Linked DNA regions of Mus musculus. The protein of the gene in region 1 purifies or fractionates together with the protein of each later gene. This does not show direct contact. Links are inferred from orthologs where the notes say so. Each region holds a gene or a part of one and is shown in the gene's direction. Other genes may lie near its edges.

Region 1 (3,823 bases):
GCACTAGGCTAGAAAGTCTGTGACCTAAAGATAGATGCTGTGTTGTCTACAGTCAATGCAAGGGGAAGGCGCGCTCTGCTTCCGTGTGTATGTTACAGAGTGCTAGGAACGTAGCATTTCAGGAAAACAAGACAGCTGTAATTCTAAACAGTTTATTTGGAGATATTTGACCAATCAAAGTCATACTTGGCATTTCCTTGAAAATGAGATAAAACAGTTAAGCCATTCTAAATGTAAGGCCTAGACAGAGAGTGTGCAAGCTGTTGATACCTACATTGAAGTTACTTTACTTTTTAACAGTAAGCCGAGTATGGATTTGTTGATTTAAGAATTCAGATTCAGAGCTGGCGTATAGCTCAGTTGCTAAATTACAAGCTGATGCTCATCCTCAGGTACAGCCTAAGCTACATGAAAGCCTAGTTCAAAATCAAAAATGAAATCCATATTCTACCAGAAATGCTAATGCTCTGAATAGAGACATTAACATTTTGATACGTATATATGATATGTATCTGTGTGTGTATATACACATATATTCATAAATACACACACACACACACACACACAGCCAAAATAAATTCTCTCCAGGCCTCCATACTAGTTAAGTGTGTGCTGCACAGAGGCCGGGGAGGCTAGAGTCCCTGAAGCTGGAGTTAAGGATGTTGGTAAGCCTCCGATGTGGGAACTGAGAAGAGCAGCCAGTACTCTTAACCACTGACCAATCTGAGTCACTAGACACACTAGCAACATGAAGCTCTGTCTAAGCTTTTGTGTTGTGTACGATTCATAAAGTATATCTTGGTGCTGACGAGGTGGCTCAGGGATTAAGTATGTGTTACTTACTGCTCTTGCAGAGACCTGAGCTCAGATATAAGCACCCACCTGGTAGCTTACAACCACCTATAATTCTAGGTCCAAGGGAGCTGATGCCTCTTGACCTTTGAAAGCATGCTCACACATGCGCACACACACACAATAAAAGTATATTTCATAGTATGTGTTATGCTGTTTTAAACTAGTTACTTTTAGTTATTAGCAATTTCTCTGTATTTATTCTTTGCTTAGCTCAGTATTACCAACTGGCAGAAATTCCATTTTTTATATATGTGTGTGTGTGTGTGTGTGTGTGTGTGTGTGTATTATATATGTGTGTGTGTGTGTGTATATATATATATATATATATATACACATATATATATATATATAAAACATGTTACATATATATTATATATTAGGTTCTGATAACCCACTATCACAGTATCTTTTGTAGAATATTTCTATATTAAATTATAAGAGAATACTGTTATGTTTATATTAGAGCTAGGACAGTTATTTGCCATGATAAATGTTATCACATTCTTTTAAGTTAGCATTTCCTCAGCTGCTAACTAGTAAGGTTAAAAAAAGAAAAGAAAAGAATGTTTATAAAATTATAAACTTTGAATAACTCATCCAAGAAACACTAACAGAGTTTTAAATGTTACTAGAATTGACAGGCAGTGAAAACATACCCCAAGGTAGAAAAACGCTGAAGCAGCACATTATGATGGCCTTCAGCGTTTATTTTAAAAAAGAGAAAGGAATTCAAGCTTAAGTAGTTTTCACTTTAGAAGATGTATTGAACAGATCTCAGAGATGAAACAGCATAGGCCAAAAAAATTGCAAAGACAGGGTCAGCTTACTCAGCACAGGAAGGAAGGACTCACCTCTGCACAGTGTGAGCTGCAGAGCAAGGTGGGTAGGCACCGCTCAGGAACAACCGAGGAAAACCAAACAGTAGAGCGATGGAAACAGTGTCTGTTGTCTTAAAACACCAACAATACTGAATTCGTTTTCCAAAAATCTCAAGCAAATAACAAGTTCAAATATTTTGAAAATAAGCTCTTTTATATTGTTTTCCAGAGAATTTTAAAACAATAAGAACTACCCTAAGTTTTCTAAAACTGATATAATCTTGGTATTCAGGTCAAATAGGATGGTACAAAAAAGGGATTCTATAATTATAACCATTAAAATTCTCCTTAGAAATATGGCTACATTAACCCTAAGTGAAGGATTAAAGGAGCTCAAATGTACACATGGAACAGAAAATGAAAGATATGCAGATTAAAGGCCAAAGATACAAGAAAACATACAGTCAGGTTATGGTTTGGTTAATATATAGAACTGAATACTATATGGTTGTATACAGGTTTTAGAAATTTTTATTTCTTAATATTCTAAAATAGGGCCACACCTTATTAGCCCAAGGCTAGCCCTAAACCTGGGGCAGTCCTTCTGCCTCAGCCTCCTAAGTGCAGGGATTCACAGCACAGAATTGAATCCTTTTGTTAAATGCTAGGGTTTTGTATTGTGCCTACAAGGACTCAGAGCCACAAAGTCCAGTCCTTGAGTGTGATATGCGTGGCTTCTCACTGTAACTAGAGCACACATGAAACATGGGGGTGATTCTTGCATGTAAAAGTTACTGGTTTTTAAGGATTGAAAGTTATTTAAAGATAATTTTTTTGCACCTACTGTGACATTTAAGATTATTTGTGGAAAATGGCAGAACATAAAATTTCAGTGACTATTTTGTTTTCTCTCCCAGGATGTGATCTTCGTGGTGGGAACCAAGTTTCTAAACTACCCCAATGGATGCAGACAGTGATGTTGCATTGGACATTTTAATTACAAATGTAGTCTGTGTTTTTAGAACAAGATGCCATTTGAACTTAAGGAAGATTGCTTTGGAGGGAGCAAATGTAATTTATAAGCGTGATGTTGGGGTAAGTGTCTGAGTTTCAGTGTGTGCACTCTCTAGCCTGATCTGACCATGCTTTGAGTGGTACTGTTGTATTGTGCAGATGAATTGTGAGCACCTTGTTATGCTAGGTGTAACTGGGCAGCATGGAGCCCTGTAGAAATGGCCCTTCTCCTGGAGATTACAGGTACAGATAAGAGATAGGACTGACTTTGCATCTTGGTGGCTGTATACCCTAGTTCAAACCCTACTTTAATTCTGTTGTATGTAAATTTCCTGTTCCTTTTTAGTTAGCTAAGTTATATTTTTAAAAATAAGTTGCTAAATAAAATAAGTTGTGATTCGTGCCGGGTGTGGTGGCGCACGCCTTTAATCCCAGCACTCGGGAGGCAGAGGCAGGCAGATTTCTGAGTTCGAGGCCAGCCTGGTCTACAAAGTGAGTTCCAGGACAGCCAGGACTATACAGAGAAACCCTGTCTCGAAAAAAAACAAACAAAAAAAAAAAGAATGTGATTCGTGTTTTAACCTACGTGTAAGATTTTGTTTTATTAAACCTCTTTAATCTATTTAAAAGCATTAGTGTTATTAATAAGTAACAAAATGTTAGTGATTTGATGTCAGCTATATTGACAGTGGATATGCATTTGGCTTTGATAAAGTACATGTTGAAAAATGCAGCCAGGAAACAGTAGAAACATGGGAAATGCAAAATAAAAGTCACCCTAGTCCACATGGCTCGTAGAGAAAAGGGAACAACAGCGACTAGTGTCTTAGTTTCTTTTCTGTCACTTATAGAAGAAAGAGTTTATTGTGGGCTTATAGTTTCAGGCAGTTCTGGTGGGAAGCATGGCAGCAGGCAGGCATGGCAGGCAGGCAGTAGTAGCAAGAGCTCACATCTTGATCCACAAGCGTGTGGCAGAGTTAGGGTCATAGGGGGACTGACACTGGGAATGGCCTGGGCTGCTGAAACCTCAAACCCCAGTGACACAGCTCCTCCAGGGCCACAGCTCCTATTCCTTCCCAAACAGTGCCACCAGCTGAGGACAAGTATTTGAACCTATGAGCCTATGGAGAGCATTC
Region 2 (3,823 bases), on another chromosome or scaffold:
TTCTAATTGGCTCAGCAAATTTTCATTGCATGTTGATTTTTTTTTTTTTTTTTTGGTTTTTTTTCGAGACAGGGTTTCTCTGTGTAGCCCTGGCTGTCCTGTAACTCACTCTGTAGACCGGGCTGGCCTCAAACTCAGAAATCCGCTTGCCTCTTCCTCCCGAGTGCTGGGATTAAAGGCGTGCGCCACCACACCTGGTGCATGTTGAAAATTTAAGCCAAGCTTTTGCTTTGGTTTAGGACATAAATGAGATGCTATACCTTTGTATCTTGAAAGGTTTTTTGTTGTTGTTGTTTTTAGATTTTATATCTTTATTTTATATATACGATGAGTACACTAGCTGTCTTCAGACACTCCAGAAGAGGGCATCAAATCTCATTATGGGTAGTCATGAGCCACCATGTGGTTGCTGGGATTTGAACTCAGAACCTCTAGAAGAGCAGTCAGTGCTCTTAACTGCTGAGCCATCTCTGCAGCCCCGGTATCTTGAAAGTTTAAGAACAACTGCTGAAATGTGTGATCCTGTTTACTACACTTCCTTGGCTACTACCATGGGACCAAAGTAATTAAGGCTGTCATAAAGTTTTCTATTTCAGTTTTAAATTTTGTATGTATAGGTATTTTGCCTGCTTGTGCACCACATGTTTGCAGTTACTTGGGGTGCTAGGAGAGGCCATTGGATTCCCTAGAACTGGGGTTAGAAATGCCTGTGAGCTCCCATTTGAGTGATAGGGATGGAACCCTAGTTCCCAGGAAGAGTAGCCAGTGCTTGTAATCACTGAGCTGTTTGGATATACAAGGAAGATGGGAACAGGAATGGTTATAGCTCATGTTAGTTGATACCCCTTAGTAGGATGCTTGTCTTCTAACTTGGTAATTTCTAGATTCTTTGGCTTGAAAGCAGTATACATTTCTTGGTGCATTAATTGTTACTGAAATAGCAACTTGGATATATTCTTTTTTGCCTTAGGCCAGCTGCTTCAGGTGGTCAGAGCAGCCAATGGTGCCCAGTATATCTTGCAGCCTCAGCAGTCAGTTGTTCTACAACAACAAGTTATACCACAAATGCAGCCTGGTGGAGTCCAAGCTCCTGTTATCCAGCAGGTAAGCAGTATAACCTACAGGCCCCGTGGTATCCATTTCCTTGGGCTTCTGCCTCTGCCGCTGCTGGAGTTGTATGACTTTCTTGTGTGCTTCCCCACTCTTTCCCCCAGACAAGTTAATAGGTGTGCAGCAGTCAGAAACAATTGTACTGAGTTAAGATTATATGCCTTCAAGCTTAATGTACATTTCTCCTGTTTAAAACTGAATTATTATTAGTTTGGTTTTGGACGTTTGATCCCTCTAACCGGTTTCTAATTGGTGATTTTGTTTCTGTAGGTCTTAGCCCCACTTCCTGGAGGGATTTCACCACAGACAGGCGTCATCATCCAGCCACAGCAAATCTTATTTACAGGAAATAAGACTCAGGTCATTCCTACAACAGTGGCAGCACCCGCCCCGGCACAAGCGCCGATGCCTGCAGCCGGACAGCAGCAGCCACAGGCCCAGCCTGCCCAACAGCAAGCTCCGTTGGTGCTGCAAGTTGATGGAACAGGGGATACATCTTCTGAGGAAGATGAAGATGAAGAAGAAGACTATGATGATGATGAGGAAGAAGATAAAGAGAAAGATGGAGCTGAAGATGGGCAGGTGGAAGAAGTAAGTTTCTATAAAAGCTTTGAAAAGAAAAGGCACTCATCATTCACTTTTGCTAAGCATGCAAATTATATGCTTTTTTTTTCCCCCAGAGGCAGAGAGAGGTGGATGCTCGCACTTAGTTTTTTCCATATACTGTCAAATCCCCAAGCCTAGGGTGTGGTGCTGTACACTTGGGCGTGTGAGTCTTCCTAAGTCAGTTAATATTTTTATCACAGTCCACTGTAGGCATGCTCAGGACCTAGATAATCCCTCATAGATATGCCCTGAGTGAGGTACATCTCCCAGGAAATACAATATAGGTCCTGATGGTGTTAACAGTAACTATTATACGCTCATTTTAAAGGTATGTGTATCAAGTGGGTACTATATTAATAGGGATAGTGACGATAGTGCAGATCAAAGATATCTGAAATGTGGTTTAAGCATAATGTATTGGTAAAAAGATAGATGTAATTGATTATGTCTTTTAGTGATTAAAAAGGTATGACGGTCTGGGGAGAGAGGAACCTGGAGAAAAACTGAATGTGACAGATGCAGCCACAGCCATGCTTGGCCTTTGTTGTATTCCATAGCAGGTCCTCAATAATCCGATCTTCATACTTTTTTCTTTTTTCTTTTCTTTCTTTTTTTCCGAGACAGGGTTTCTCTGTGTAGCCCTGGCTGTCCTGTAACTCTCTCTGTAGACCAGGCTGGCCTCGAACTCAGAAATCAGCCTGCCTCTGCCTCTACTTGAGTTTTCTTGTCCATGTATAGCAGAAGTACAATATGTTTAAATGTAGTTTCTGTTAAATTTTCTTAAAATGATGTCACTAAGGTTCATCTAGGTCACAGTCTATAGCTCATTTTTACTCTTGATTGTACTATAATTTGATTGCCCTCTTCTGGATCTAGTGAGCATTTGGGTGGCTTGTGTTCTGCGAGCTCCTGAGTTTCTCTTTAGTATTACACACGAACATGGACTTGCCATCTGACCTGACTGAGACTATCCTGCCATGTCTGTAACTTGTAGATGTCAGTATGTTATCAATTCCTGATAGTGGCAGACTGTTGAGTTTTTTCCAGTCTGAAAAGTGGTGTCTTTAGTTGGAACTTCCTTAACTACTCAGGAGCCTCAGTTGCTTTGCATGCATTTGCTTGTTACTATATTTTTACTGTGTCAAATGGCCAGTGTGCATTATTTCTAACCCTTTCCCAAATCTTAGTCTTTTCATAAGTGACATTTACATTACATTGTGTTTCTCCAGCTTGCTTGCGTTATAGACATGTACAGAATTTGTAATAGTCATCGTTGCGCCAGCCTCATGGTTTTGTACTAATGCCTTCGTTGACTTTTTTGTGTTTTAATGTGGAAGATTTTTTTATAATGTTCTATGATTAACTGTATTTGTTGTTGTTGTTGCTGTTGTTGTTGTTTTTGTTGTTGTTTTCCCTTATAGATGTCTTTTGGGGCTAAGTGAGCACCAAGTGTTTTGCTTTTTTTTTTTAAATTATAAGGAAATGTATTTTATTATGAAATGCCTTTCTGCAGCCATTGGTTGCTGTATCCCACTCATAGACGGCTATTTATGAATTTTTTTGAGTGGTCCTAATTTGCAAACCAGTCTTGAGTTCTCTATGTGACACAGCTTGGTCATTATGTATTCTCTCCCTAACTGCTATACTCACATTGACAGAAGTTTATGTCAATATGTATGAACGCTTTTGTAATTTCTTTTCTCATAATCCTCTCACCAGTTCTTATATTGATAGTATCCTTAGGAAAGATTTTTTGTTTGTTTGTTTTTGTTTTCTTTCTTCCTTTCTTTCTTCTTTTTTTTTTTTTTTTTTTTTTCTGGTTTTGCGAGACAGGGTTTCTCTGTGTAGCCCTGGCTGTCCTGGAACTCAGAAATCTGCCTCCCTCTGCCTCCCAAGTGCTGGGATTAAAGGCATACGCCACCATGCCCAGCGAAAGGATTTGTATTTTAAAAAAATTATATAATCTCTTCCTGTGTTTTGTTTTTAATTGTTTTTGAGACAGGGTCTCCTTAAGTCTCCCTGGCTGGCCTGGAACATAATGCCTCCTGTGTTCTAGGATCAAAGTTGTGCACCTCTGTCCCTGCCTTGCTAAACTCGAGGGAGGGGG

What was found.
Region 2: the proteins of Tbpl1 (region 1) and Gtf2a1 purify together in Homo sapiens (affinity purification with mass spectrometry; 5 studies listed by BioGRID and IntAct, counting the BioPlex papers as one, with this or other methods). This does not show direct contact. The link is inferred for Mus musculus from reciprocal best matches to the Homo sapiens genes TBPL1 and GTF2A1.

Annotation. Positions count from the first base shown.
Region 1 is NC_000076.6:22,710,859-22,714,681, reverse strand, and holds part of Tbpl1 (TATA box-binding protein-like protein 1), read left to right. Parts: intron 1-2,590; 5' UTR 2,591-2,633; coding exon 2,634-2,768; intron 2,769-3,823. UniProt on the Homo sapiens protein: Part of a specialized transcription system that mediates the transcription of most ribosomal proteins through the 5'-TCT-3' motif which is a core promoter element at these genes. Seems to also mediate the transcription of NF1. Does not bind the TATA box.
Region 2 is NC_000078.6:91,565,418-91,569,240, reverse strand, and holds part of Gtf2a1 (transcription initiation factor IIA subunit 1), read left to right. Parts: intron 1-970; coding exon 971-1,104; intron 1,105-1,380; coding exon 1,381-1,701; intron 1,702-3,823. UniProt on the Homo sapiens protein: TFIIA is a component of the transcription machinery of RNA polymerase II and plays an important role in transcriptional activation. TFIIA in a complex with TBP mediates transcriptional activity.